Rattus norvegicus: one gene and its partners. The protein of the gene in region 5 purifies or fractionates together with the protein of the main gene of each other region. This does not show direct contact. Links are inferred from orthologs where the notes say so. Each region holds a gene or a part of one and is shown on either strand. Other genes may lie near its edges. The genes, in order: Stx8, C7h19orf25, Mettl9, Cip2a, Slc30a4, Pds5a and Pds5b.

Evidence for each region.
Region 1: the proteins of Slc30a4 (region 5) and Stx8 purify together in Homo sapiens (co-immunoprecipitation; 3 studies listed by BioGRID and IntAct, with this or other methods). This does not show direct contact. The link is inferred for Rattus norvegicus from reciprocal best matches to the Homo sapiens genes SLC30A4 and STX8.
Region 2: the proteins of Slc30a4 (region 5) and C7h19orf25 purify together in Homo sapiens (affinity purification with mass spectrometry; 3 studies listed by BioGRID and IntAct, counting the BioPlex papers as one, with this or other methods). This does not show direct contact. The link is inferred for Rattus norvegicus from reciprocal best matches to the Homo sapiens genes SLC30A4 and C19orf25.
Region 3: the proteins of Slc30a4 (region 5) and Mettl9 purify together in Homo sapiens (co-immunoprecipitation; 3 studies listed by BioGRID and IntAct, with this or other methods). This does not show direct contact. The link is inferred for Rattus norvegicus from reciprocal best matches to the Homo sapiens genes SLC30A4 and METTL9.
Region 4: the proteins of Slc30a4 (region 5) and Cip2a purify together in Homo sapiens (affinity purification with mass spectrometry; 3 studies listed by BioGRID and IntAct, counting the BioPlex papers as one, with this or other methods). This does not show direct contact. The link is inferred for Rattus norvegicus from reciprocal best matches to the Homo sapiens genes SLC30A4 and CIP2A.
Region 6: the proteins of Slc30a4 (region 5) and Pds5a purify together in Homo sapiens (affinity purification with mass spectrometry; 3 studies listed by BioGRID and IntAct, counting the BioPlex papers as one, with this or other methods). This does not show direct contact. The link is inferred for Rattus norvegicus from reciprocal best matches to the Homo sapiens genes SLC30A4 and PDS5A.
Region 7: the proteins of Slc30a4 (region 5) and Pds5b purify together in Homo sapiens (affinity purification with mass spectrometry; 3 studies listed by BioGRID and IntAct, counting the BioPlex papers as one, with this or other methods). This does not show direct contact. The link is inferred for Rattus norvegicus from reciprocal best matches to the Homo sapiens genes SLC30A4 and PDS5B.

The regions. Positions count from the first base shown.
Region 1 is NC_086028.1:53,153,300-53,157,493, reverse strand, and holds the start of Stx8 (syntaxin-8), read right to left. Parts: upstream 2,801-4,194; coding exon 2,784-2,800; intron 1-2,783. Other genes in the region: Cfap52 (cilia- and flagella-associated protein 52), read left to right, coding at 3,699-3,768. UniProt on the Homo sapiens protein: Vesicle trafficking protein that functions in the early secretory pathway, possibly by mediating retrograde transport from cis-Golgi membranes to the ER.
Region 2 is NC_086025.1:10,039,505-10,043,557, reverse strand, and holds C7h19orf25 (UPF0449 protein C19orf25 homolog), read right to left. Parts: upstream 2,630-4,053; 5' UTR 2,451-2,629; coding exon 2,321-2,450; intron 1,809-2,320; coding exon 1,609-1,808; 3' UTR 501-1,608; downstream 1-500.
Region 3 is NC_086019.1:185,026,316-185,029,815, reverse strand, and holds part of Mettl9 (protein-L-histidine N-pros-methyltransferase precursor), read right to left. Parts: intron 237-3,500; coding exon 27-236; intron 1-26. UniProt on the Homo sapiens protein: Protein-histidine N-methyltransferase that specifically catalyzes 1-methylhistidine (pros-methylhistidine) methylation of target proteins.
Region 4 is NC_086029.1:65,279,415-65,282,914, forward strand, and holds part of Cip2a (cellular inhibitor of PP2A), read right to left. Parts: coding exon 3,438-3,500; intron 1,788-3,437; coding exon 1,675-1,787; intron 506-1,674; coding exon 411-505; intron 1-410.
Region 5 is NC_086021.1:130,218,889-130,222,388, forward strand, and holds part of Slc30a4 (probable proton-coupled zinc antiporter SLC30A4), read right to left. Parts: intron 1,898-3,500; coding exon 1,751-1,897; intron 1-1,750. UniProt on the Homo sapiens protein: Probable proton-coupled zinc ion antiporter mediating zinc import from cytoplasm potentially into the endocytic compartment. Controls zinc deposition in milk.
Region 6 is NC_086032.1:42,904,920-42,909,132, reverse strand, and holds the start of Pds5a (sister chromatid cohesion protein PDS5 homolog A), read right to left. Parts: upstream 2,801-4,213; 5' UTR 2,795-2,800; coding exon 2,660-2,794; intron 1-2,659. UniProt on the Homo sapiens protein: Probable regulator of sister chromatid cohesion in mitosis which may stabilize cohesin complex association with chromatin. May couple sister chromatid cohesion during mitosis to DNA replication.
Region 7 is NC_086030.1:5,174,442-5,177,941, forward strand, and holds part of Pds5b (sister chromatid cohesion protein PDS5 homolog B), read left to right. Parts: coding exon 1-107; intron 108-2,333; coding exon 2,334-2,472; intron 2,473-3,500. UniProt on the Homo sapiens protein: Regulator of sister chromatid cohesion in mitosis which may stabilize cohesin complex association with chromatin. May couple sister chromatid cohesion during mitosis to DNA replication.

The DNA of each region.
Region 1 (4,194 bases), on a different chromosome or scaffold from region 5:
CTCGGAGGTTAAGAGCACTGCTGCTCTTCCTGTGGCCCTGGGTTCAATTCTCAGGTCCCACGTGGCAATTCAGAATTGTCTCATACCCTCTTCCAGCCTCTGTAAGTTACCAGGCAAACACATGGTGTGCAGACATGCATACAGGCAAAACACCCACATGCTTAAAATAAATAATCTTTTAAAAATTAAAATTCAGGGCTGGAGAGATGGCTCAGCAGTTAAGAGCACTGATTGCTCTTCTGGAGGTCCTGAGTTGAATTTCCAGCAACCAAATGGTGGCTCACAACTATCTTTAATGTGATACGATGCCCTCTTCTGGAAGAGAGTGACAGTATACTCACATACATAAAATAAATTAATAAATCTCTAGAAAAAAATTTCAAATCAACCACCAATAGCACCCAGAGTGTTCCTTATCACAGCATGTTCATCTCCTGTCTCATCTCGCACGCCACTCTGCTCCTTACAAGCGGGGACTCCTGTGCTCATGTGAATGATGTATTTTCCAGGACTGTCCATTTCAAAATGTTGAAAACTGCTGTTTGCCCGGATGTCCCAGTTCTACCCATAAGAAGATAAGTAACTTACTTCCCTAAAATATTCCAGTACTAGAAGTAGTAGCCTATAACCTCAGCAGCTTGGGGAAAACTTAGTGATCAGTCTCATACTTCAAAAAGAAAGGGGTGGTGGTGAGTAAGGGCATAGATCAATGTTTAGCTTATGCAAGGCACTAGGCTCAGTCACCAAAGTGTGTAGCTCGGGCTGGGGCTATGGCTCCAGGTCCTATACAGAGAACTTTGTGTTGTGAACTCCACAAGCACTTCAGAGGCAATGTCACCCCCTAAGCCTAGACTCACGTATACATCAGTATGAACCAGTATGAATCAGTATAATCTGGTATAGGCTTATGAAAAAAAGCAGGTGGTTTAAAAAGACTAATAATAATATAGCAGAGTAATAAGAAAAATGATCCTAGCCCCAACTTCCCCATACTTATTGTCTCCACACCATCACCTATGAAGACAGGAGCTTCAGTCCAGCTCTGTGACAGCACATCAAACATATAAACCCCTAACCAAGTCCCATCAATTAGGAAAGGGACCTAACTTGAGTGTCTATAGAGCCCAGGAAGGAAGAGATCACTGATGAGGCACTCAAACAGGCTGGGCCGCAAGAGGACACTTTGGGCTGACTTCTAAAAAAGTCTAAAGCAGATTTCCCTATAGGAAGGAGAAGCGAAATCTAAACACTGTGGAAGGCACACGGCATAAGCAAAGATGAGAGAAGAAAACATGCCTGGCATGTTCTGCCACATGGAAGGTACAAAATAGCGGACATCAGTTCTCTGCAGAGCGTGGCACGGGAATCTAATGAGATCAGGAGAATTTTACCCAAGACACTCAAGCAACTCTTTTGCTGTTAGTCTTGTTTGTCACAGTGGCTTTCTCATTTGACAGCTGAAAGCTTTCTTGTCCTGCTGGGGACCATACCCAGGGTCTTGGATGTGGTAAACAATTATTCTACCACTGAGCTCAAATTTGAAATAAGTTATGCACACCCAGACAATGCACTGATGTGCATTAAAAATCATGGTTTTAAGACTACTTAAGGGCATGGAGAAATGCTTCCTGTTTTGTAAAATACAAGCAGGATATAAATTCAAACAATAAGTGCACTGGAAAAAAAAGTGAGCACTGATTGTTTCCAAGTGATGAAGGTGCTATCTTTTTTCCTTCAGATACTCAGTAGTCTCTAAACTTCTATCAGGGGTGTATACGATTGTCAAAACCTTATGGGAAAATTCAGCAATTGGCTGGGCATGGTGGCAGAGTCCTGTAATGCCACCACTTCGGAGACTGAGGCAAGAGGATCAGGAATTCAAGATCAACCTAAACTCACTGAGACACTGAAAAACAAACAACAAACAATTCAGCTACTGGCCCAAATAGCCTAGATTCCAGGTAACTCTGAGCCTGACCTTGGGATCCACTCTCTTCATATTCAAAACTGTCTGCCATCAAACAATTATAAATTGTACCAGAAACACCAACATAAGGCATATTCTCCAACACAGACTTTACAGAAATGCAGTGTAATAAATTGTTAATCAGGAAGGTCATGACTTTATAGCAATTTGTTCCTTGTATAGATATTTTTTCATCATTCTCTCCTTGGGGCTTCTTTGCTAAATAAATGATCCCTATTAGGTATTTTCTACACCACTTCTTACTCACATAAGTCTTCATGCTCCTGATGCAGGAAAGGGCTTATTACAAGTGCAAAATTTCCCTCTCAGAGTCCTACAAGTTTTTTGTGAAGAGCCCATAACACCCGTGCCCAACTAGCTACTAACTAACTGGTGACCATGGAGTGTGAACTTCAGTTTATTCCCTTCCTGCAGGGGGATTAATGGGTGAAGGAATATCCCACCGAAAGGTTATATCGACTTCACTTTTACAGGAGCCCAGGGAAGTCTACGCATGCAGTCAGCCACAAGCAGGATAGGCAGGAAGCCCCATAAAAAAGGGGGCAAATTACTCGATTACTCAAGTCCCAGCTCCCCCAGGTCAGAGTCTCCCCTGGGACCACAGAGTTAGCACCGAGTAGGCAGTACATGGCTGAGTCCCCTCAACAAGGAGGATCCTCGCCCGATCCTCATCCCTAAAGCCGCCAGCCTCAAGCTCAACGATGACCAGGGTTTCTGCCAGTCCCTGGAAGCCAGTTCCACCCCCCAAGTTAATCCCCATACACTGCTGCCATCACCGCCATCACCGGCAACTCACCAGGGGTCTGGGGCCATGGTGCAGTCTCCGCCTGCAGCTGGGACACTTCCTGCTCGTAGCAGCTGACTACGGCGGCCCGCGCGGCTCATTCTCCGCAGTTTGGAGGGTGCGCCACCGGAGCCCAGAGTTTGCAAAGTGAAACCTGTTTTATTGACCTCAGAACTACGCCCCAAAGCGCACCCCTAGGGGACAGTGGGTTGCAAGAATCGATTTTTGTTAATTTACATGAATTGCTGGAGGAAAGGAAAATGGTTACATTGCTGAAAAGAATCAAACCATTTTTCCAGGGAATGGAAGCGCTTCAACCCCGGCTCTGCATGCTTTTTTTCTTAATTCAAAACAGCAAAAACAAGCCGGGTGTGATAACTCAAGCCCGGAATTCCAGCACTTGGATGGCTGACGCAGGAAATATACATAGAGGCAACATACACACACACACACACACACACACACACACACACACACACACACTTGCATACTATACTAAAACGTTTTTAGTGTCTTTTAAAACAATTTTTTTCTTTACAAGGAAGTAGCAATTCCATGCTTTTTTTAAGCAACCTATTCATCACAGGCAATTCTCTGTGCTCAGTTTTTCTGTGTTCAATTATTTTTAATAATCATCATGAGGGGCTTAATTTTATAGTTTAAAAAAAGTCACAGACCTTTACACGGAGAGGAGGATATTTACCTTGCGTACCCAGTATCAACCTACCACCTACATTTCCAGAATGAATAAAATACATAATAAGGAAGTCCTCCCTACATTTGCAAGAGGGGAAAATCAACTTAAACTCAGTGGGCTGGGTTTCTGCTCTGGCGTAAACCTAGCACGCATGCGTGCTCCAGTTACCATAACGACTAGGAGACGCTGCACCCTGGAGTTGAGGAATCAACCAGCTGAAACTCTCCAGGATGGAAGAACAAATTTTACCCGAGACCGACGTAGCCGAACTGGAGCTTCAGGCTGTGATCGGCTTCAATGGTGAGGCCTAGAGCAACCTTGACTTGTTACTCAGGGACAGTGAGACGCTGACTTGGTAGCGCCTGAGAGGCAGTGGGGATAGTGGTAAAAGTCTGGCCAGGCACCACCGCCCCCAGGATTCCCGAGCCTAGGGAATTGGTGTGGGTGTAACAGCTCCATATTCAGAGACCAAATGAGTCTAACTCGGTAGGAGTATGAGTAAGGGTCTCTCTCTCTCTCTCTCTCTCTCTCCCTCTCCCTCTCCCTCTCCCTCTCCCTCTCCCTCTCCCTCTCCCTCTCCCTCTCCCTCTCCCTCTCCCTCTCCCTCTCCCCTCTCCCCTCTCCCTCTCCCTCTCCCTCTCTCCCCCTCCCTCTCCCTCTCCCTCTCTCCCCCTCCCTCTCCCTCTTTCCCCCCCACTAAAGTAGAACTCTCAAAGGTTTAAGACC
Region 2 (4,053 bases), on a different chromosome or scaffold from region 5:
ACCCTGATGTACAGTGTACACTTCTGCACCCTGATCTACAGTGTACACTCTGCACCCTGATCTACAGTGTACACTTCTGCACCCTGATCTACAGTGTACACTCTGCACCCTGATCTAGTGTACACTCTGTAACCTGATCTACAGTGTACACTCTGCACCCTGATCTACAGTGTACACTCTGTAACCTGATCTACAGTGTACACTCTGCACCCTGATCTACAGTGTACACTCTGCACCCTGATCTAGTGTACACTCTGTAACCTGATCTACAGTGTACACTCTGCACCCTGATCTACAGTGTACACTCTGTAACCTGATCTACAGTGTACACTCTGCACCCTGATCTACAGTGTACACTCTGTAACCTGATCTACAGTGTACACTCTGCACCCTGATCTACAGTGTACACTCTGTAACCTGATCTACAGTGTACACTTCTGCACCCTGATCTACAGTGTACACTTCTGTACATACTGACCCCGGAGGACGCCCAGCCTGGCTTCTGATTCTTTGTTCATATCTTTAATAAAGCGAGACATTTGGCTGCTCTGGAGTTTCATCTTTAACATGGGCTCCAGAGCGGGGAGGTTGTTCCAGAACCTTCCTTCTTCTGCAGCTGTTGTCCAACCCGAGAAGGCGATTCGGGGCTCCCGAGCTCCCCACTGACTGGACAACGTGTCAGGTCTCCACATGCTGGAGCCAAGGTTGATTGAGGGTCACCGGAGCTGTACTTGGCCATCAGCCACTGGTCACTTGTGGTGGAGGTGTCATGGTGGGAGTGGAGACCAGGAATCCAGGCTGCACCAGTCAGGGCAAGCCAGACCCTGTGGCCACCAGGAATGTCGAAGGTCAGGAATGACATGGCCCACAAGCTAAAACCATTTCTGACAAAACAGGTCCAGCCAGCTTGGGACCCAAGAAGGCCGGTGCGGTGCCAACACCCGAGTGGCCAAGGGGTGGCATGGATTTGGGCCCCCAGTGATCTAGTCCAGCTTAAGGGAGATCTGTGTTCAGGCATCAAACATCTTTCATCTTCAGAACTAAAGTCCGGCCACTCCAAGAGTGGTGGGTCTTCTGCAAGAAGACAAACCAAACCCTAGTCCAGAAGGGTCAATGTCCACCACACACAGGACTCCAGCCTTTGGGGGGCTCCTCTGGGACCCATGGCCTCCCCAGAATGAAAACCCCTTTGTTGAGTAGCCCCAGCCCTAGGAAGGGGGTAGCCAGACTACTCTGTCACCAAGCCAATAGTGGCTGACCTGCTGTGGATGTTGGGGACGGAGATCTTCACTGTCCAGGGTGACAGGGGGCAGGAAGAGCACATTGGTGGAAGACTGGTAACGATGGGGCAGACTGCCTCTGAGCCCTGACCTGCAGTCAAGTCCTAGATGCAATCTAGGCTGGTGTCCCCAAAACGAGGTGGCCATGTCCCCAAGTCCCATCACCGGTGAGAGGCCATTAAGGATGGAAGAGGGGACAAAGCCCCAAGCACGCGGAGTGGGCCACTGGGTCCCCCAAGGGTAGGGTTGGAGCAGTAAATGTTGACCCAGAGCTTCTGGTTGTCAGGTGCCCAGGCCTGGGCCAAGGACATCAGGTTTAACCTTGGCTCTAGGACGTGGCTGATGTCACCTGACTAATATCCTGTTCCAGCCTCTGACCAGCTTGCCGAAGGCCATCGAACTTCTGCCTCAGCGCATCCCCCGCCTGCCGCAGCCTCTCGTTCATAGCCACGTAGGTCCGGCTCTGTTGGTAGATCTGCTCCTGCTGGACCTCAGAGTCCTCAGCCCTTGGGAGTGGCTCTAGGGGGTCTGAAGAGAAGAAAACAGTGTGACCATCCATCAGTGATTCAAGGTCTTCCTTGGCCATGTGGTGAATCTGAGGGTAACATATACCTACCTAGACACTAGAAAATTAGTCAGTTTCAGACCTGAAAAAACCCAGGGTTTGGGGGTCACGGAGAGGACAGGTCCCCTCCAGCCACCCTGGCTTTGCTGTTCTACCCAGGACTGTCTGGGTTCCTGGATTCTAGGACCGGATTCACACAAATGGCCCTTACACGTACCATTCCCCCATTTCTTTGTAGGAGCAACTGGCCACGCCCCCTTGAGACATGGTCCTGAACTCACAGCAATCCTCCTGCCCTAGACCCCTGGGTTGGCTTAAATCACCAAGCTCGGCAGCACTTCGGCTTTATTTTTGATGATCCCATTTTGTAGGGGAAGAGAAGGACAGGGACAAAAAAGATAGGTCCCTAGGTGTCTGGCTGCAATCGGTTTGCTCCCCACTCGGGCTGGGACTCGGGACTCTTATGTTCTCCTACCTTCTGGGGCCAGGGCAGTAAAAACAGGATCTTGGGCGGGTGCCCCTCGCACGTCCTCCAGGATCTGCTCTACCGTGGGAGGCGCGGGGCGAGTGGGCAGCACCACGCGTTTCTTGGCCTTGGAGCTCATCTTGTAGGCGAAGCGCGCGCTAACGGGGTGCACTCTCGGCTTGGCCCTCTCACCCCGCGAACTCCTACGCACCCGTTACGGACCTGCGCCGAGCTCCCTGACCCTCCTCCTGGGACCTCGGAGTTTGGTTCGACCTCCGCGTCAGTATGCCGTAGAAAAACCCTGCTGCCTATCTTCGCTCCAAGAACTTAGGAAGCCGCCGCCACTTCCGCTTCCTCCTTGAGCGCCCCTACGTTCTAGCACTTCCGGTCCGCTCCAGCGCCACTCCTCGGGAAACCCCTCCCCCTTCTTAAAGAGCCCTAGGCTTAGATGCTCCTAGGCACAATCCAGTAAGATCAAAGGGAACTGTGCTTCTGTCACCACGTGTGGTAAGAGGCAAGGAGTGATTTTGAGTTCGTGTCTCCCTGGCCGAGCAGTAAATAGTAATCAGTGTCCAACCATTGCCAGGTACACAGTGGGCGCTCAATAAATGCTGGATGGAACCTAGCTGCAGGGTAAGGTATTCCTAGAGTCTTGTTTCCTTGTGGTAGAGCTTTAATCTCAGTACTCGGGAGGCAGAGGCAGGCAGACCTCTGTGAGTTCCAGGTCAGCTTGGTCTACACAGTGAGACCCTGTCTCAAAAGAGCAGTGTGTGTGTGTGTGTGTGTGTGTGTGTGTGTGTGTGTGTACACGGGGGATGGCGGTGAGCTAGCTTTCTGTTTATGGCTGTTCAGCACTTGGTGGATCCCCCTGCCAAGGGTCTCTGGGCTCAGAGCAGTCTTCCTTTGTGGTTCCTTATTCCTCCAGGGCCCCATGTCTCACCCTGAGCCCACCCTACCCTCAAGGATACCACAAACTCGACATCTTCTGTTTAACTTTATTTGCCAACTATGAGGTTAGACATGGGGATGGTTTGGAGACAGGGAAGGGGCAGGTGGTTGGTGGCTGTGGTCTGACCTCTTGTCTGCCATACCTGCTCCAAAAAGAGTGAGGAAACGTCTCTTCCACTGGGAGCAGCTGAGGCTGAGCTGCGGGCTGTCACGTGACCCATGCAGCTCTCTGCCGTGGCCTTCTGGGGCATATTCCTATCCCGGCCTGGGAGCAGGGCCTTGGGGTACCGGCCTTCTGTCCTGAGAGTGGGGCATCTCTGGCTCTCCAGGGGTATCCAGCCTGGGGAGAGGTGGGCCTTCCTCAAGATGAGGGGCCTTCCAAAGGCCCTGGTTAGCAGGGACAGCACCATGGCCCAAGACTGATAGCCAGGATGGCTGCCAGAGGTGACAAGCCTTGGAGGGGCTCTGAAGCACTCCCAGCATGAGGGGCAGGGAACAGGCAGTGTAGTCGCTGGTCAAGCTGCCGAGCAGGTGTGGTAGGAGGGTGACAGCTGTCCTGTCCCTTGGTCACTGGCTGCTGTGTGTGGCTGTAGAGCCACCACCACTGCTTGCTGGAGATGAGGCAGAGTTCTGCCACGATGGAGAGGGGACAATGACTTTCTGCAAAGGGACAAAATGGAAACACAGGGAGTGAGGCTGCAGCTGGTGGGAGCAGCCAGTGCCTGCCCGCCCATCCCGGCCGCTGCGCCTCCTCACCCAATAAGTGACCATGCGCTGCGGCCACTCACCCTGGC
Region 3 (3,500 bases), on a different chromosome or scaffold from region 5:
TCCCAGCACACCTCTAGAACTGGTACCTGTATTTCTTCTTCTGGAGCTGCCAGATCATTGTTTCAGAAAGTTCAGTGGCATAAATTTCTTCAAAATGAGGGCTCATGATTTTCGTGACTTCTCCATCTCCAGCACCTAAATCAAGAAGTCTATGGGTTTTCCAGTCCGGATTAATTTTAAGCAGTCTCTGAAACTGATCTGGTGAGAACACAAACATGGAGCCTCTTCCTAGCAACCTGGGGGAAGAAGGACAGGAGATGAAATCTATGACTCTAAGAACGTCTACGTACACAGAGAAAACAGCACCGAGGTTTTCTGACTTTGTGAAATTATTATACAACTTAAAAAGTTTATCTTTCGTGGCCAAAAAACAAATTCACAAAGAAAAGGTGGAGGGATGGCAGAGACGGCAGACTACCCCAGCCAGACGGCAGCACCAGGCAGAGGAGCCAAGCAGGCCTTTAGGAAGATGGACTCAACAACAGTGATAGGAAAAGTAACTCTGTATAAAAGAGTCTTAAGATGCCTAAAAATGGATTTAAAATGCTTTAAAAGAGGAAAAGAGCAACGGTTGTGAGATCAGCTGGATGACATGGAAGTGGGTCCATACTCTGGTTGGTTTATAGTTAGCTGAGACCTGTACTTTATTAAAGGTCCTAAAACACTTCAAGCTGATAATACTGACTGAAAAAATAAAGTAAAAAGAGGCTGGTCAAGGTTATATGGGGCCTAAAGGAGCCCTCCCTCAGAAAAGCAGGTACAGCCCAAGCAAGCCATAAAGAGGCACACTCCCTACTCCCTTCTTGCTCCCAAATCCTGGTTTTCTCCATTAAGCCAAACCACCTTTCTTCAAATGAAGTAAAAAACTCAAACAGCACAAATGCAAGGAGCTATTACACTGCAGTGAGGCTGAGTGCCTGCAGCTGCCAGCAGCCTGCTTTTAAGATTTTCTCTGCAACCTGAAGCAGTTTCTGAGGCAACTCCTCCCCAGATCCTGGAAAACACACGGCAAAAGCACTGGCACGAGAAGCAGGGAAGTGTACATCATTCTGTCACTCTGGGAATACTCAGAATGTAAAAGAGGTTTACTGTTTAATGACTATCAAGATGCTTGTAACAAGATGCTTACCATAGGACCAGCGTCACCAACACTAAAAGGCATGGAGATGATGTACTAAATTCCCTCTCTTCTTTTGCCATTAAAACCACAGAGAGTTAACAAAATCTAATGATGTATTTACAGTAAGTCTTCTGCCTCACACAATGCTGAGACCAGAGAGTAGGAACCAAAAAGAGCCCAGAGACAGCTAAGCATGTTGCTAAGAACCACAACTTCTTACCAAAGAAAGTTTTATCTCATAAGACACATAACTCATAACATTGCTCATAAGTCAAGCAGAAGGGCTCCAGACAGCCTGATGCTGACTTCATGCCACAGATCCAAGTTAAGTCATAAAATATTTTACCAAAAACTTTCCGAGCTATAATAAAACATGCTTCCCAAGCCATCTCCTTGGGATGTGAAGAACCCTGACATGATACTATAAAATTATAAAGCTGGGAATCACCTGAGGTCAGAGCCCACAAAGTTAACTCACCAAAATCTACATTTAAAGGTACCAAAAAGAAATGAGGAAAATACTGCCTTATTTGCAAAGAACATGCGCAATGGGGGCTCCATAAAAAAGTGTCAGAGTCAAAATCTACAAGTCCAGTTAGTTAACCAAAAACAACTCTGCCCTTCAAGAAGTTCAGCAAGATCTGAAAAACTAAACTTCCTACAATGTTTACCTCGCACAACAGAATCATCCGAGTACATATGGAATCCTAATATGATGTCAAGGTTTTGGAAACATATCATATAGTCAGAATGGTCTCCGCTGCCTCTAGTCTTTCATAATCATCCTAGGTTCTCTAGTCAAGTCTCTCTGGATCTAACTCTACAGAGGAAGTATGTCTCCTCCTTATACAATAAGATGAACAAAGCTATCAAGTCTCTCCAGGGATATAGCTTTATGGTAGATAGAGTCCTTGCCTCAATTGTACCAGGCAGTAAAATTCCCAGTACCACAATTTTTTTAAAGAAGAAAGGAAATATTTTTAAACTGGAGGTGGTGGCACATGCCTGTTACCCCAGCAATCAGGAGGTATAGGCAGGAATATTGCCACAAATTCAAGACCAGCCAAAGACATATAACAAGACCCTATATAAAAACAAAATCAAAGAATAAAAAACAACTCACTTTACTTAGCCTTCTTTCTTCCAGGAAGAAATTTGGTAAGTATCTGAGCTCAAAAAGGTTTCATCGTAACTATGTAGTTATTTCTATTGTAGTGAGTTAACATAGTAGAAAATATCTCTGGGTTCAAAACTGAGTTACTGAGTTCCCAGTTCTGTTTTGAACTGGATTAAAACAGGGCAAGAAGGCAGGCAGGCAGAAGCACTAAGTTTAACAAGGGAGGAGAGGCAGTAAGATGGTTCAGTGGACAGAGGTACTAAGTCTGACTGCCTAAATGCAATCCCAACCCACATGGTAGGAGAAAACCAATCCCCACAATTTATCTACTGCCCTTAATATGCCCTGACACGTGCACAGGTACATGCACCCGCACACATGCATACACACACAGGCTCACATACAATAAAAAGTAGAATAAGCAAGGCATACAGTATGCAAGAGGTGTATATCACTGAGTTCAGGAGAGCAGGAGTTTGAGGTCAATTTGGGCAATATATCAAGGCTCCATCAAAACAAAAGGGTAGAGGCAGGGTTATAAGGGAAGCCAACAGTACTTACTAATTATATTGCCTCTTTGATCAAACTACTATACTCTAGAGCAAGGAGTCTTAAATGAGTTTCTTCCAACAGGTAGAAGGGAAGTAATTTAGTTTGAAACTGACAATCATATAAAGTACTGAATGTAAGTACTTTCTAAAGAAAAGATTCCCACCTTTTATTACTCAAAGAGGTAGAGAATCCTTCATAAAAAATCTCTGCCGGGGTGACTCACCTGATGTCTGAAGAAAGAATAATGGCAAAGAACAGAAATTCAATACAACCAATTTTAGGAATAAAACATCAACCTAAATTACATAAACTCAATTTCCAATACAAAATAACAAATGTTTACTGAAGCAAACATACGCCAAGCTCATTTAAATAAGGATGAAAATCAAGTAAGAAATCCTGAGGGATGGCTTATGGTGCCTGAAAACATATTTAAGGACCAGATGATGACTGGGGATCCAGACATTTAGCAAAAACTAGATTCAAGCCTCAAGAGGAAAGAAAAGAAGAGCACAAGAGGCCTGTTAAGTACCATGACCAGTTGCCAAAATTTGGCTTTCTCCATTCTAGGCCTTGCCTATGTTTAAAAATTCAACTAAGAAGTGATAAATAATATTTATAGATAAATAATATTTATGAAGTATTTTCTGTAGGTGTATGAAGGAACCACTCTCAGGGCAGAGATTTCTACACTAAAGTTACAAACTTTCT
Region 4 (3,500 bases), on a different chromosome or scaffold from region 5:
GAAAATTAAACCTGCTTTATATACTCAACCCTTGAAATCAGCCAAGTGGAGTAAACAAACAGCGATCTTAGTTTAAAAAACAAGAAAGCACGGTTGGTAAGATGGCTCGGTAGGTTAAGAGCACTTACTGCTCTTGTAGAGGACCCTAGTTCTGTTCTCAGCACCCACATTGGACAGCACACAGCTGCCTATAACTCCAGCTCCAAATGCCTGAGCTCTCTTTTGTCCTCTACAGGCACACATGGTGTATCACAAATACGTTCTCAGGTACAACACATACACATAAAGAAGTGAGTAAATCTTTATTTTTAAGCTAGACAACATTACTCAAGGAGAAATATCTACCACATAGTTTCAGTTTAAAAATAAGACAACAAATTATCTAAGTACATGTTTTGTTGCATACTTACATATGACCAATCAAGAATGTAATTAAGTCATCTATATGGGCACCAGAGTGGAAGAATTTGACATTATATGTTAATCTCTGCAGCAGTTGAATGCACTGAAATTGAGAAAATAATTGTGAGTAAACAAACGCATGAAAACAGATTGGCTACTTATAAAAGTGGACTACTGCACACATTTGAGCACATCATTTGAGGAACCAAATAGAACAAGAACCAGGCCAGTTCCTAATTCTAATTTTATTTGAAATATATATCCTAAGAACCTTGGAAGTCATTCTTAGTTTATCTGTTTCTACATATATTTTCTCAAGCCTTATCATTGGTACAGTTTGAGTGGCACCTAACTGTGTCCATGAAGGGTGGGTTCTGTGATTTAACCTTAGTTCCTCAGGAGGGAATTATAGGAGGTGTCAGGTCTCTGGCAGTTAGGGCCTGACTAGAGGTTTTTAGGTCACTGGAGGTATGATGTATTTCCCATGTGACCCCGTGCGTAGTTCTCAAGAGTGCAAAGTGTTAAAAGGAACAAACCTGGTCCCAGTATCTCTCTGACCTTACCTGAGGTATGATCACATCCTACCCTTCCCACTTGCCAGAAAAGCCTTTGACAGGTCTATGGTTATGTAGATGGCATGGGCTTGAACCACCTATGGGATAAATACATCTTTTCCCTCATCAGATGGACCATTTTAAGTGCTCGGCTGTGGGAACCAAAGCTGACCAGAATCATCTACCCTGTTCCCTTACTTACATTAAAACTTGTGGTTGAATTAGCTTGAGGATCTATTTTTCCTCCTATATGTTATCTCTATAACTGCATGTCAGTTTAATTGGTCATGTTTTCCTTCTCTTGCAGATGATCACGTTTTAGATTCAATAAAATGATGGGTGCAAGAGTTTTCAAATTATGCTAACAAAGACTAAACCATAGCTCTAAATTTTGTTATGATGTTTCTTCAATAGTCTGAGACTACATACCAACCCAAATTATAATTTTAAGACGAATAGTTCACACTTCAAAATGCACACATCTTTGTTTTTAAGTGAGTTTTAAGTTAAAGTGGTAATAATGCAGATCTGGTCTCCTCTGTTCCCTTCTCAAGAAATATTTACACAGTGAGTATGTGTCCAACCAGATCTAACAAGAACTGTATATGATCACGCTGTCATCAAGTCAACTGTAACACAGCAGTAAAAGGTGTTAGCAGTTTTGGTCTGAGGATAAAAAAGGGAGACCAGGTAACAGTGAACGTGAGGATTTGTATACCTGTAAAAACACTGAATTATTGTGGCACGTGCTGCTCCGACAAACCACTCCCGACAACACACTATTCAGATTGTAGATATTCTGAAGACAGTCTCGGGTTTCATTATCTATAGCTGAAAGTTAAAATAAAATGGCATAAAATATATCACTCTTACATGTAGAAATCATTCAACGAAAGTAAAATAATTTGTTATATTATCTTGATATCACATGAGCTAGCTGTTTAGTTTGGTGTTTTGAGTCACTCTGCCCAGACTGGCTTGGAACTCATGGCAATTCTTCCTGTTTCAGCCTCTGGGGTGCCGAGGCTACAGGATTAAGTTACCACAGTGGTTAAGACAGATTTCTTCTTTTATTTAATGCCCACTAATTTCAAAGGACAAATGTTTTCTACATAGAATAGCAAAGAAAAAAACTTGTTTTACATATGTATAGAAACTTGGCTCTTAAAATAATGTAATAGCTGGTGATATATGTCTATAATTATCACACTTAGGCTGAGGCAAGAGAAATTTGACTTCCAGCTCAGTCTGGGTTACATGCTATGGGCAGTCAGATTATCATTTCAAGTTCTTTTATGAACCCAAATACTTAAAATATAAAGCTTACTACTTAAAAAATATTAATTTAATTAATTTAAATTAGAAATATACATATCAAGCCATTAACTAAGATTGCATCCCTAAAGGTAAAAAGGATAAGAAAGGCTGGGATAACAAATAAAAAACAGGGGCTGGAGAGATGGCTCAGCGGTTAAGAGCACTGACTGCTCTTCCAGAGGTCCTGAGTTCAATTCCCAGCAACCACATGGTGGCTCACAACCATCTGTAATGGCGATCTGATGCCCTCTTCTGGTGTGTCTGAAGACAGCTACATGTACTCATAAAATAAATAAAGCTTTAAAAAAAAATAAATAAAAAACACCATTTTACTCTTATCTGTGATGTATAATATGACAGCTACTTGTCAATATGCAATTATTTAAATTAAGATCAATTAGAATGAGATTCTGCTCCATAGACTTCAAATGCTAAGAAGCTTAAAGGATAATACAAAATCAGAATATTTATCATCAATAATACTTTGATTGTTCTGCTAAACAATGCAATGTCTATCTCTGCTAAAACTTGAATACTAAGCATACCTGAATATTATAACCATATATAAAAGTATCCAACACCTCTGCACACACACAAACCAACGGGGGAATGACTAATAGATGGACTTAAAATGAAACATAAAAGGAATAGAAAAGCTACTATAGTTTATCTTTAGTTCTAAGTTAAATGTAGTTTATCACAGAAGAATAACTGATTGGTAGATATGTCTTTCTAGTTGATCTCCTTAACATTGGCACTACGTTCATGTGGCTTCTGGTTGTTTTAACATTCAATAGAATGTCATTTCCCAAATGCATTCTTTTCCGTGGAACCTGAAAGTCTTTGATATATGGCAGATTCTTTGACCCAATAATTTTAAAACATGATTATTTATATGTGCCTATAATATACATGTGCCTATATATCTGCTATCTATCTATCTATCTATCTATCTATCTATCTATCTATCTATCTCTATCTATCTATCAATCATTCTGTCTGTCTGGAGGGACTTTGAGAGATCTGTAATAATAACTCTAAAAGGTTCTACAATTAATCTTTTGAATGTAAATCATTCTTTAAGAAATTCTATAATTCTATCTGGCTTTTAAAAATATTTTCATAGTCTTCCAAACTCAGAAAAAGAAACCATGAATACATTACCCAGTTGAGACAGCAAACTGATAATACTTAAGATCAGTGAAGCACTTATGTTTGGGTCTTCAA
Region 5 (3,500 bases):
CAGGTGTTTAAAACATCAATTAAAAGGCTACCATCAATAAACTCTAAGAGTGTGTGTGTGTGTGTGTGTGTGTGTGTGTGTGTGTGTGTGTGTGTGTGTGTGTGTGTGTGTGTGTGAGTGTAGATGACTGTTAAGACCAGAGGCAGCTCTTCACCTTGACACTGAAATTGCAGGCAGCTGTTAGCTGCTCTTGTGGGTGCTGGGAACTAAATTCCCCTGGAAGAGCCACACATATAGGACTGGAGAGATGGCACAGGAATTAAGAGAACAGGCTGCTCTTCCAGGGGAGCCAGGTTCAATTTCCACTACCCACACGGTGGCACATAACTGTCTGTAACTCCAGGTCCAGAGGATCCGATGCTCTCTCTGGCCTCCCTGGGTACCAGGCATGTAAGTGGTGCACAAACATACATGCAGACAAAATGCCTATAAACATAACATAAAAATAAGTAAGTCTTAAAAATCAAAGAATACTGTTATTTAAAAATAAAAATTAAAAAGAATAGTATGCACTCTTGAGACATCTCTTCAGCCCCAGAAAAATGTTATTTCTAAGAGCAAAGCGATCTACACAACAGAACATGACAACTGCAATTAAACCAGGCTGATATTTACTACTACAGATAGTGTTTGATTTGGTTCATTGATAAAGTGCCAATTTTTAATAACTCTAGCCCTATTTTCTGCTTTCTTAGTAGATTCTCAAGGCAATATCCAGTTGCAGATATTTGCACCCAACCAATCAACAGAAAATGCTGACCCCTGTAGTTGAATTAGGGAAAGCTGGAGGAAGCTGAGGAGGAGGGTGTAAAAGAACAGCAGTCTCAATTAACTTGGACCCCCGAGATCTCTCAGACACTGGATCATCCACCAGGCAGCATACACTAGCTGATATGAGGCCCCCAACACATATACAGCAGAGGACTCTGGGGTTTGGGTTCAGTCAGAGAAAATGCATCTAACCCTCAAGAGACTGGAGGCCCCAGGGAGTTTAGAGGTCTGTTGGGGTGGGTGGGGTGGAGACATCATAGTGGAGGGGGGGTTTGGGATGTGGAACAGTAGGAGGTGGGCCGGGAGGGGACTAGAATCTTGAGTGTGTAAAAAAAAAAAAGCCAAAGAATATCATTTTTATCTCAATTCTTTAATGTGCATTATCAAGTGCTGAACTTTTCAAATCTATGATCTACAGATATGGCCTGTCAGATAATAGTTCAAATAGTTATTTTATGTATTTTTAGAGTAAGTTTAAAGTCACAGCAACAGTAAGAATCAGAGCTATGTAGGCAATAATATAGATTTTTAAAAGTCTTTAAATGAAATATTATGGATGCATTTGCTGAATTACATTGATACAGTGCAGTCACATAGCATATGTTGAACATATGATGAAATGTTTAAAATGGGCTTCAGTTGAAAATTTTAAAGTAAAAGAAGCAGTGAATGCTTATTAATGAGTCACTCAATTAGTTTTGCTCAGGTCAGTAAACTGGAAGTAAGCCTCCTTGTTATGGCATACTCAGGCACACGAGACATTTGAAGAGTAACTATAACCACATAATTCTGTACAAACTATTTAGTGAGGCCTAGCGGGGTTTTCCATGGAAGATAGCTTTTTGGGTAAGTCTCATTATTTATTTTCATTTCTTTGTTCAAAACCATTATTACCTTAAATATTTCAGTTAATCGGGGTCATAGTTCATTATGGCTTTCCATTAAGATATTGTAAATCAAATAAACTTAAATTACCTACCTAGGCGATGAAATCCAAAGGTGAATCTTCTGGTTGGTGACTTTGAAGACAGCCACAAAGCAAGAAGAGTGAGTATGATGGCACTAAGGTCAGTTAGCATATGAAGTGCATCTGTCATTATTGCTAAGCTATTTGCCATGTATCCACCTGGGAGAAAGGGAAGGAAGAGTAACTACAAAAAGTAAGCCATCAAACTCAAAATGTGTAACATCCTACAAAAAAAAACAAAAAACAAAAAAAACCCTGCTAACTAAATTTCTATCCTGATACAACTAAATCAAGGTATTCTAAAGTTTCATGAAAAATAGTATAGATGTCATATCCTTTAATTTATATGAGAAGTGTTCCAGAAAATTGTATCAAAATCTGTGCATGTTCAAATATCTTATATAAAATACCATATTTGCACACACAGCCTGTACATATAAACCTATACATAATTTACATTATTTCCAGATTACTGATACCATCTAATACAATGTAATTATTGCACTGCACTATTTAGGAAAATACTATAAGAAAACAATTATGTATACATTCTATATAAACATATATTTCAAATATTTTCCAACTGAAACACAGGTGTAGCACCTGTGGACATGGAATCTGTAGGTATGGAAGGACCACTGCACAAATTTCTGGTGAAAAAAACCCATTTCTATTAACAGGGTCTTCAAAGTGTTCATTACTTCATGAGGTTAACCATTAAGTTGGTGGTAAAAACAAAAGCAGGATGCGACTTTTGCTCAACTTATTAATTCTATGAATACAGTGAGTTAATAGCAACAGTATCTAAATATTACAGCCAAGCAGAAAGAAGGTATGCTTTCTTTTATTCAGGAAGGGTTGAACATGAAATGACACTGAAGAATTCTAGAAAGTGCATACTAGCAACAACCCAAAGAGTAAAAATTAGCTTAGCTTATAGTTATACAGATAATAATCTCTGAAAAGAGGAACAAAAGATATTTAGAAGCTATGGTGTAATTAATGGCATAGGAATAAGTATGGTGTGTGTGTATGTTAGACTTTAATGTCCCCGCCACAACCCATGCTGATCTCCATTATGGGGTATTAAGAGGGTGGAACTTTAAACCGATGGCTGGGTGGTAGTGTTAAGTGATACGCTAAGGGCAGAGCCTTGTTTCAATAAAACTATGACTTTAAAGGAAAAAGAGATCTGAATGAGGATCATCTTCCTTATCATGTGACCCTCAGTACTACTTTGAGACTATGAAAAAGACCTCAACAACTGCAGCCTCTCGATCTTGAATTTTCCAGTCTTCAGAAACACAAGGTAAATATACATTTTTGCTTTATAAATTACTTACTCTGTGATATTTAGTTGTGGCAACATAAGACAATATGTATTAGGGTCTGGAACAGTCTGTGATTTCAGGCATCTACTAGGGATCTTGGAATATATTCCCGTGTATAAGTGGGAAACAAACACAGAGTGTTGTATGTATGTATGTACATGAACACACACATACATTTTCTTTTTTCTCCTATCATTAATTTTATTCTATTCTGGGAGAGTATTTTGATTCATTTTCTATTGTTAATTGATGATTGATTGATTGATTAGCTGAGACAGTCTCACTATGTAGCCCTGGATGGCCTAGAACTCTCTATAGAGAACAAGGTGACCTTGAACTCAGAGATCTGCCTGGCTCTGCCTCCCAGACACTGACATAAGGCATGCATTACCATGATTGCTTCTCATTTTCTAAATTTTCTATGAGTTTTT
Region 6 (4,213 bases), on a different chromosome or scaffold from region 5:
AAAAAGGGCTGTGAGTTCAAGACTGGCCTGAGTTAAACAGTAAGACCCTGTCTCAAAGTTGGGGTAGGTCCCAGCACTCAGAAGGCAGAGGAAGACACTCTGAACTACATAATGGGTTCCAGGACAGCAAGAGCTACAGAGAAGACTCCTCTCCCTCCAAAACAACACCCAAGGTGGGGGATGCACAAGACAAACACACATAGACATGCATGCTAATTTTATTGATCAGCTTTATTTCTTAGTTTGGATTCTTACTCAAAATACACAATATAATCTTGGGAAATATTAATACTCTTTAAGTAGTAAGATACACTTCAGAGAGCTGGAGAAAGAGCTAAGTGACTAGTGTTTGCCTCCTAAGTATGAGGTCCTGAGTTTGAGGTCCTGAGTTTGAGCCCCAATTCCCAGCACTTGTGCTCCATGTGGTGCAGACAACTGCAATCTCAGCAGGAGGGGTCTGGAGGCTCGCCCAACCTAACAGGTGAACTCTAGGCCAACCAGAAACCTTGTCTCAAAGGAAGTGAGGGCAATACCCAAGACTGTCCTCTGCCCTCCAGGAACATACACAAAAGACCTTGTATGAGAATTCTGGAGGTTTGCTTTTTTAAAAAAGCACAGAAATGTTATAAGAATATGTTTTCATTTTAATTCTAGGTGTAAGGATACAGGGCTGCTTCACAGCAGCTGACAAGAGGCATGGTTTTGCTAGCTGCAGATAGTTTCTGTGTCTGTATATGGAATTCTGGGAACTTTTCAGCGGGTATATAAATGCTAGGACCCTGAGAGGAGGAGTCAAGTGGTTGTTGGTCCTTTAGGAAGCTTGGTTGCAGTTTGTTAGTAGCCATGCTCAAAGAAAGAAGAAGACATTAAATTAGATTCAGGGGCCTCTATCTCTCTCTTCCCTCTAGTGATGGGGTAAAACTGGGGGGATAAAGGGTGGGGAAAAAGAACCCACAAAGTAGCAAAGACCAGCTTCAGTGCCTACATACCTACACATAAACATTCATGCACGCACACACACACACACACACACACACACACACACACAAAATAGTCTCACATTTTTTTAAAAAAGGCTTTAGTTGAACCTGGTGGCACATGTCTATATTCCCAACACTTCAAAGTTCTTCAGAGAACAGAGAGAAGTTGAGACCAGCTTTATCTACTGAGCAAGTTTTAGGCCAGACCCTGTCTTGAAAGCAACAGAAAGATTTCTCTGCTTTAGACTGAGGTATAGCTCAGTGATAGAGCACTGCCTGCACGTGTCCCCACCTCCACACCCAGAAAAAGGAATGGAAGGAAAACAGAGAAGATGCCTTTTAATTAAAGAAGCTAGGTCTTTCAAAAGACCAACAAATAGAAACTAAAACACAGAAACACTTTTTTTTTTTTTTTGGTTCTTTTTTTCGGAGCTGGGGACCGAACCCAGGGCCTTGCGCTTCCTAGGTAAGCGCTCTACCACTGAGCTAAATCCCCAGCCCCACAGAAACACTTTAAACACATAATATTTACTAGGTACTATGCTCAATTCTAAGATCAGGCCCTAAAAATACATTTTACAAAGTTGCATAAGGCAGAAACACTGTCAACAATGTTTCCTGCCTAGCCTTCCACCACATTTGACTTTAACTTTGAAGTGTGCCTTTTAGCATAATGGTTCTCAACCTTCCTAAGGTTGCCTCATGTTGTGGTGACCTCTAACAAAATAATTCCATTGCTACTTCATAACTATAATTTTGCTACTGTTATGAATCATACAGGATATCAGACAGTTAACCTGTGGGAAAGGGGTCCTGACCCACAGGTTGAGAACCACTGTTGTTAGCAGGGCATGGTTACAGCTCTAGTGTTTTGGAAGTGGAGGCAGGAAGACTGTTAAGTTCAAGAATAGCTAGGTTACATGTCCTCTTTCAAACAAGTCACCTGAGCCATTCTTTGTCTCCCCACTGCCAATGCCCTACTTCCAATAGTTTAAGATCTTTCACAGACTACTGATAGCTCCTTACAGGGCTCTGCCTCATCGTCTCCCTACTCCACCCAAGCCAACTGTGACAACCAAAATGACTGTTAAGATTGCCGACAATAAACAAACAAACAAACCTCACAGAATATCAACAATCCAGTCCTCAACTTTCTTGGGTTCTAAAATAAAATCACCATTTCTCTTTAAGCTCAAATTCTGAAAAATCTGTACATTGTATGAAGTTTAGCCCATGTATAGTTAGGCTTCCAGACATTAGGAAATCATGAGAATCTAAGGGAGAAAAAATATGGCTGCTTGTGCTCAAATCAGTCTTTTTTGGAGCCGATGAAAATAGGAACTTTCGTGGGTAAATCACTACACCTAAGGGTATGAGTTGCTTAAACAATATTCATTAAAGAAAAAATAACCAAAGGGAAGCAACTAAACCATGTGTTCTTATGCGCAATAAACAGAACAGAAAAATGATCACACTCTTTAAATTTCCCATGCTACTATGTCTTTTCAGAACTTATCCAAAGATATCGCCAAGTTTGAACAATACTTTTCCGGGACGGTGAAGATATCTTTAAAAACTTAGTACTAAAAACTCCAAAGGCCAGGTTGAGTAGTCAAATGAAACCACATGAGTCACAAAAGCCATCCAGAGCACAGAAGAATATCGACCCAGACCCTTACCTTCAAACGTTTGATCATTTCGTCGGTGGTGATCTTGTCCGTGATCTCTTTTACTCCCGGAGGGTAAGCGATCTTCCCGTCCGCACTCACGACGCCACAGAGGGCCGTGGCAGGCTTCGGCTGCGTGAAGTCCATCCTGGGGGATAACTTTTCTTTCACAGTCCTCTACCGGCCTCTATCGGTCAGAAAATCAAAGTTCAGCGGGAAAGGGGCGACTTTGTAACCTCTTTTTCATTTCAAAAATCTCTAATCTGGAAAGGGCCCTTTCTTCCCCCCGAGGCCAGGGACCCCGTCACTCGCTCCTTCCCAGGGTTCGGACCCCGCAGGCGTCCGCCACCCCCACCCGCGCCAGCCCGGGTGCCACGGGGTTCTCGGCTGCAGCAACCCCGGCCGCGAGAGGCGCCGAGCAGCTCCCGGAGTTTCCTAGCCCTCTTTTCACAATGAAATGTACCCCCGAGCACCTAGGTCGGAAGTTTGGTGGCCTCCGGGGGTCAGCTCGGACCCAACGGCCCCAGCTCGGCTCAGGAGAAGCGGCCCGGTCCCCGCCTGGCCGGTCACCTCCGGGAAAGGAGACTCGAGGCCTAGAGGGTTCAGCTTAGGCCGCAAAACTAGGTACCCAAGAGGACCCACGCGCGGCGTCGGCGCCCAGGAGCAGAACGCCGTGGCCGTGCCCAGCCCTGGGCCCCCGGCGTCCCCGCCGCGCGGCCGTCCCTCTCCGGCCAGCCGGCCACCCCCGCCAGCCGCCCGCGGCCCGAGCCCCGAGCCAGGAAGCGGAGGACCCGGCTCCGCACTTCACATTTTGTTCCGTAACTTCAGCAACCGAGCCCGGCGGCGTCTCAAGCCTCTCGGTCGCCCGGCGCTACTCTGCACCGCCGAGGCCTGAGCCACGGCTCCGGGCAACCCCGCCGGGCCTCAGCGCGCGCCCTCCCCTGCGGTCTCCCCTTCCGTCCCTCCCTCGCCGCCGCCGAGGGCGCGAGCCCGGCCGCCGCTTTACCTCCTCCTCATGCGGACGGACGGTGCAGCGAGCGCCGGGCCTCTGTCAGGTGGTTGCGCCGCCGCCGCCGCCCCTCGTCGGGCTGCACACAAAGCGGCTCCGTGGGTCCCGCCGCCGCCGCCGCCGCCGCCCGCCCGCCCCGGAGCGGCGCTGGGGCTGGCGGTGCCGAGGAGCAGCCGCCGCGGGGGGAGACGCGGGCCGAGCGTGCGCCGGCCGGGGCGACACTGCCGCTCTCCGTCGGGCTGAGGAAGCGCAGCCTCGGCCGCGGCTCCTCCGAGAGCCCGCGCGCGGGTGCACGCCCGCGCGTCCCCCGCGCCCGCCCGCACCTCGCGCCCACCCGCACCAGACGCCCTCTCGCCGCGGCGCGCTCCCGGCTGCCCGTGCCCCGCGGAGCCGGAGCGTCGCGCACACCCAGAGCCCGTCACGCGAGCGGCGCGAGAGCCCGCGAGAGCACCGCGCACCTCGCTCCCGCCCCTTCTTCCGCCGGCCGAGCTCCCGCCTCCCTCGAACCCGACGCGGCCGCGCGCCTGGTGGACAGCGCCGCCATCCGTTTGGCGCCA
Region 7 (3,500 bases), on a different chromosome or scaffold from region 5:
GCAGAATCTCCTGAGACTAGTGCAGTTGAATCCACACAGTCCACACCACAGAAAGGACGGGGAAGACCATCAAAAACGCCATCACCATCACAACCCAAAAAAAATATGTAAGTTGTAAATAATATTAAATTTCAAACCAATTTCAAATTATTTTGCAAACTTTATAAGTTTATAAGCATATTTATTGCTGTATTTAAATTCCAAATATTTTGTCCAAATATTATTCAAATATAAGATATTTTTATAAACTTATCTAGGGAATTAACAGCCCAATTAATATTTGTACATTTTTATAGGTCTAGAGAAGTCTTTATAAATGAATGCCAAATAGTTATGTAGTCTTATGGTGTACACACGTGCTGTTTCCCAGTAGTCACTATGCCTCAGCCAGGTTTCCTCATAGCTGCAGGCTACAGCTCCTCTCAGTCATTCCCCTAGTGAACTTTCGGCACTGGCATCTTTGCGTCCTTATGCTTACTTATGCAAATGCATTAACAGGAGAGGCAGAGCTTTGAGTCTGCCCAAGTCACCAGCACAGCACAAGCACCAGCGCTGCGAGCTGCACAGCAGACAGGGGCGTCTCCCGTTAGAAAGTACAGCCAGAGCATCATGTCCTGTTAGTCAGAAATGCCGTCTTCTCCTACGCATGCTCACTGTGTAGCTGTAACCAGTACTTGGCTTTCAAAACATTAGTGCAGAGTTGGCACCAAAATAGGAGGTCATCGTTGGGTACCTTTAAAATCAAGTATAATTACATCATCTTGGTAATGGTTCTATCAAGCCCTGATCGTATACTTGCCTTTCTTTAGTTTCCGCACATCTCAGCTAAGTACTTGGGTACCATAGAGTTTTTCCTGTTCCTGTGTGCTCCATAGGAAAAGGAAAAGTTGCCCGAGTGTCTGCTAGTGCCTAACTCCATGTAATTTCTCTATAATGTTAGAAGTACAGGTAAGTACCTTATCATGACAGCTTCCTGACTGCTGGATCCAACGAGCAAGAAACTACTGTAGTCAATATTTAAAATATCTCATCTTTGTAATTCTTTTAATATCTGGGCATCATAAACTTAAGGGCTTTAAGTGGTTATGATTTCCCCCTCAAGTTTCATAAGGTCTTTCCATGAACCTTCAGAACCAAAGTACATTTTTTTTCAGCATAGAAGGATACTTTTTACCTTGTCAGACTGTTTTCAATTTTCTAGACAGTTGTTTTCCAGATCTGGAATAATATGTCATAATTTGTGTGCTTTTTGTGTTCTAACTGTAATGTAGTTGAGAACACTGTCACCCATGTCGTTCTCTGTGGTGGCACATCACAGAGCCAGTTCTTATCCTCACGAGACTTGCTCTGCAGTGGACAGGCGGGCACTAAGGAGAAACACACGAATAGGAAGCTATGACTCGGATGTTTATCTTGAAATATGTAGGGCATCTTAAGAGAATATAGTGGAAAGAAGTTGGGGGAATTTTCTTTCTGGAATGTGACAGTGAATTAACTATTGAAACTAATAGAAGAGATGGGATGAGATGACTCACTGGGTAAAGACTGTTCCTGCCATGTCTTACTGCCTGAGTTCAATCCCCAGTACCCACATGGCAGGAGAAAGAACCAGTTCCCTGAATGCCCTGTGACTTCCACAGGCTGTCTGTGGCACATGTGTGTTCACACAGTATATAAATACAAAACAAGTAGGAGGGAGGAGGGAGAGAATGCTGTAGGCAAAGTTTCTGAAGTGGGGAGATTTTGGTAAATCCAAGGAACTGCAAAAGGCAAAAAGGTTCAGTAGATTGTCACAGTGAGGAACAGGCAGGCAGGCCAGGACCGGAAGGGACTTACAGGTTCATTCTTGGTGCAGTGCAGGGGTTTGTCTGGGGTGATGGCGTCTGTTCTGTTTTCAGAGGATCACTGTAAGGAAAGGGCAGGTGCTAGGAATGCATGGTGCCAGCAGTGTCAGGGAAGCTGGGTGCATCTGTGTGCTGGATTTGGATTCTCTCTGCAGTCCAATGCGCTCGCTGTTCTCAGCTCAGAGGATGCTCGCTTTGAGGCTTAGTGAAGACTGTGATAAGGAGGAAAGATGAGGCAGATGCTGGCTTCAGGTTGTTGTGAAGTCCTTTATGGTGATAGGCTGGGTGACACCTTTTTTCCTTTTCTAGAAACTGTAAGATCCTAAGAGTAATGCTTATGGGTCAAGATGAAAATTTATTTCTCATCTCATGACATAATTGAGAATAAAAATGACCAAAATTCATAAACTATTTAAGACATTTCTTATAGTGAATTAACACACAACTTAACATCGGGATTCTCATTTTATTTTCTGTGTTTTCCTTTAGCCGTGTAGGACGCTCCAAACAGGTAGCTACTAAAGAAAACGATTCAAGTGAAGAAATGGATGTGCTTCAGGCCAGCTCTCCTGTCAGCGACGACACTACGCAGGAAGGAGCAGAAGAGGAGGATATTTCTGCAGGAAATGTATGTCCTTTTTGAAGTGTCACATATGTGGTATTACAAAATGCAAAAACTGAGCCAGTAAATATTTAGTCAGCTCCATTATAACACTTGCTGTTGTCGATAATTCTAGACATTTATGCCTTTGTAGATTAGTTCGCTGTGTTATTTTACTTACCAGCTAGGATAATGAAGAAACAGCGTTGAGGGGAGCTTGAACTGAGAATGATGGGGATTGCGATGTCTAGAGAATGTGTCAGCTGAGTGCAGAGGAGTCCAACAAGTTTCTCGCTGCCAGTCTCGGCATGGGAACCCCTGAAGTACTGTGTATTTGTACTCATGGATGTCTTTGACGTTTCTGTTCTGAGTCTCCTGATAGAAACCAGAAGAAGCCCCACTGAGTAAAAGTGAACCTTAAAGTCCAGTGAGCCTTTGGGATTGAGTTGTAAACGGCCTTTCTGTGGCTGGCAGTGCTGCTGCTTTTACAGAAGTAGGAGCTGGTACTTTTCCAGAGACTTCCTTCTTTTAAATAGCAGATGCTATTGCTAGCTATCTCATACTGTCTGTCTGTCTGTCTGTCCACCCACCCACATCCCAAGTGCTGTCCCTCCTCCTGGTCCCCTACCACATACTTCTTATTGAGGGGAAAATTAATCCAAATAGGAACTGTGTTCCTGATACATTAGTGCTAAAATTTTAGATCAGCCCAGTCAGTTCTTTTCATTTTGGAGACTTGAGTTGTTTGGTCGGTTCCCAGTGTTAGACTCTGGGCCAGTTCTGTTTCACGTGGTTCAGTGGTTCCATCCCGAGGGTTTGTGTAGATGAGTCTCCACAAAATCATCTCAAAGCAGGTCAGCTTTGTTTCTTAAGGACTTAGAGGAAGGGGGTTAGAACCTAAGATGAATCATTTGTAGTAATGGAGAACAGCTGATTATCAGGTCCATTCACGCAAAGCCCTGCTCCTTTTCCTTCTGCTGGTTTATCCTGACCATGTTTTGAGTCAGAGTTTTAAGCTTCCTGTAGGCCTTGCTAGTAAACGGTAGTATGATTAA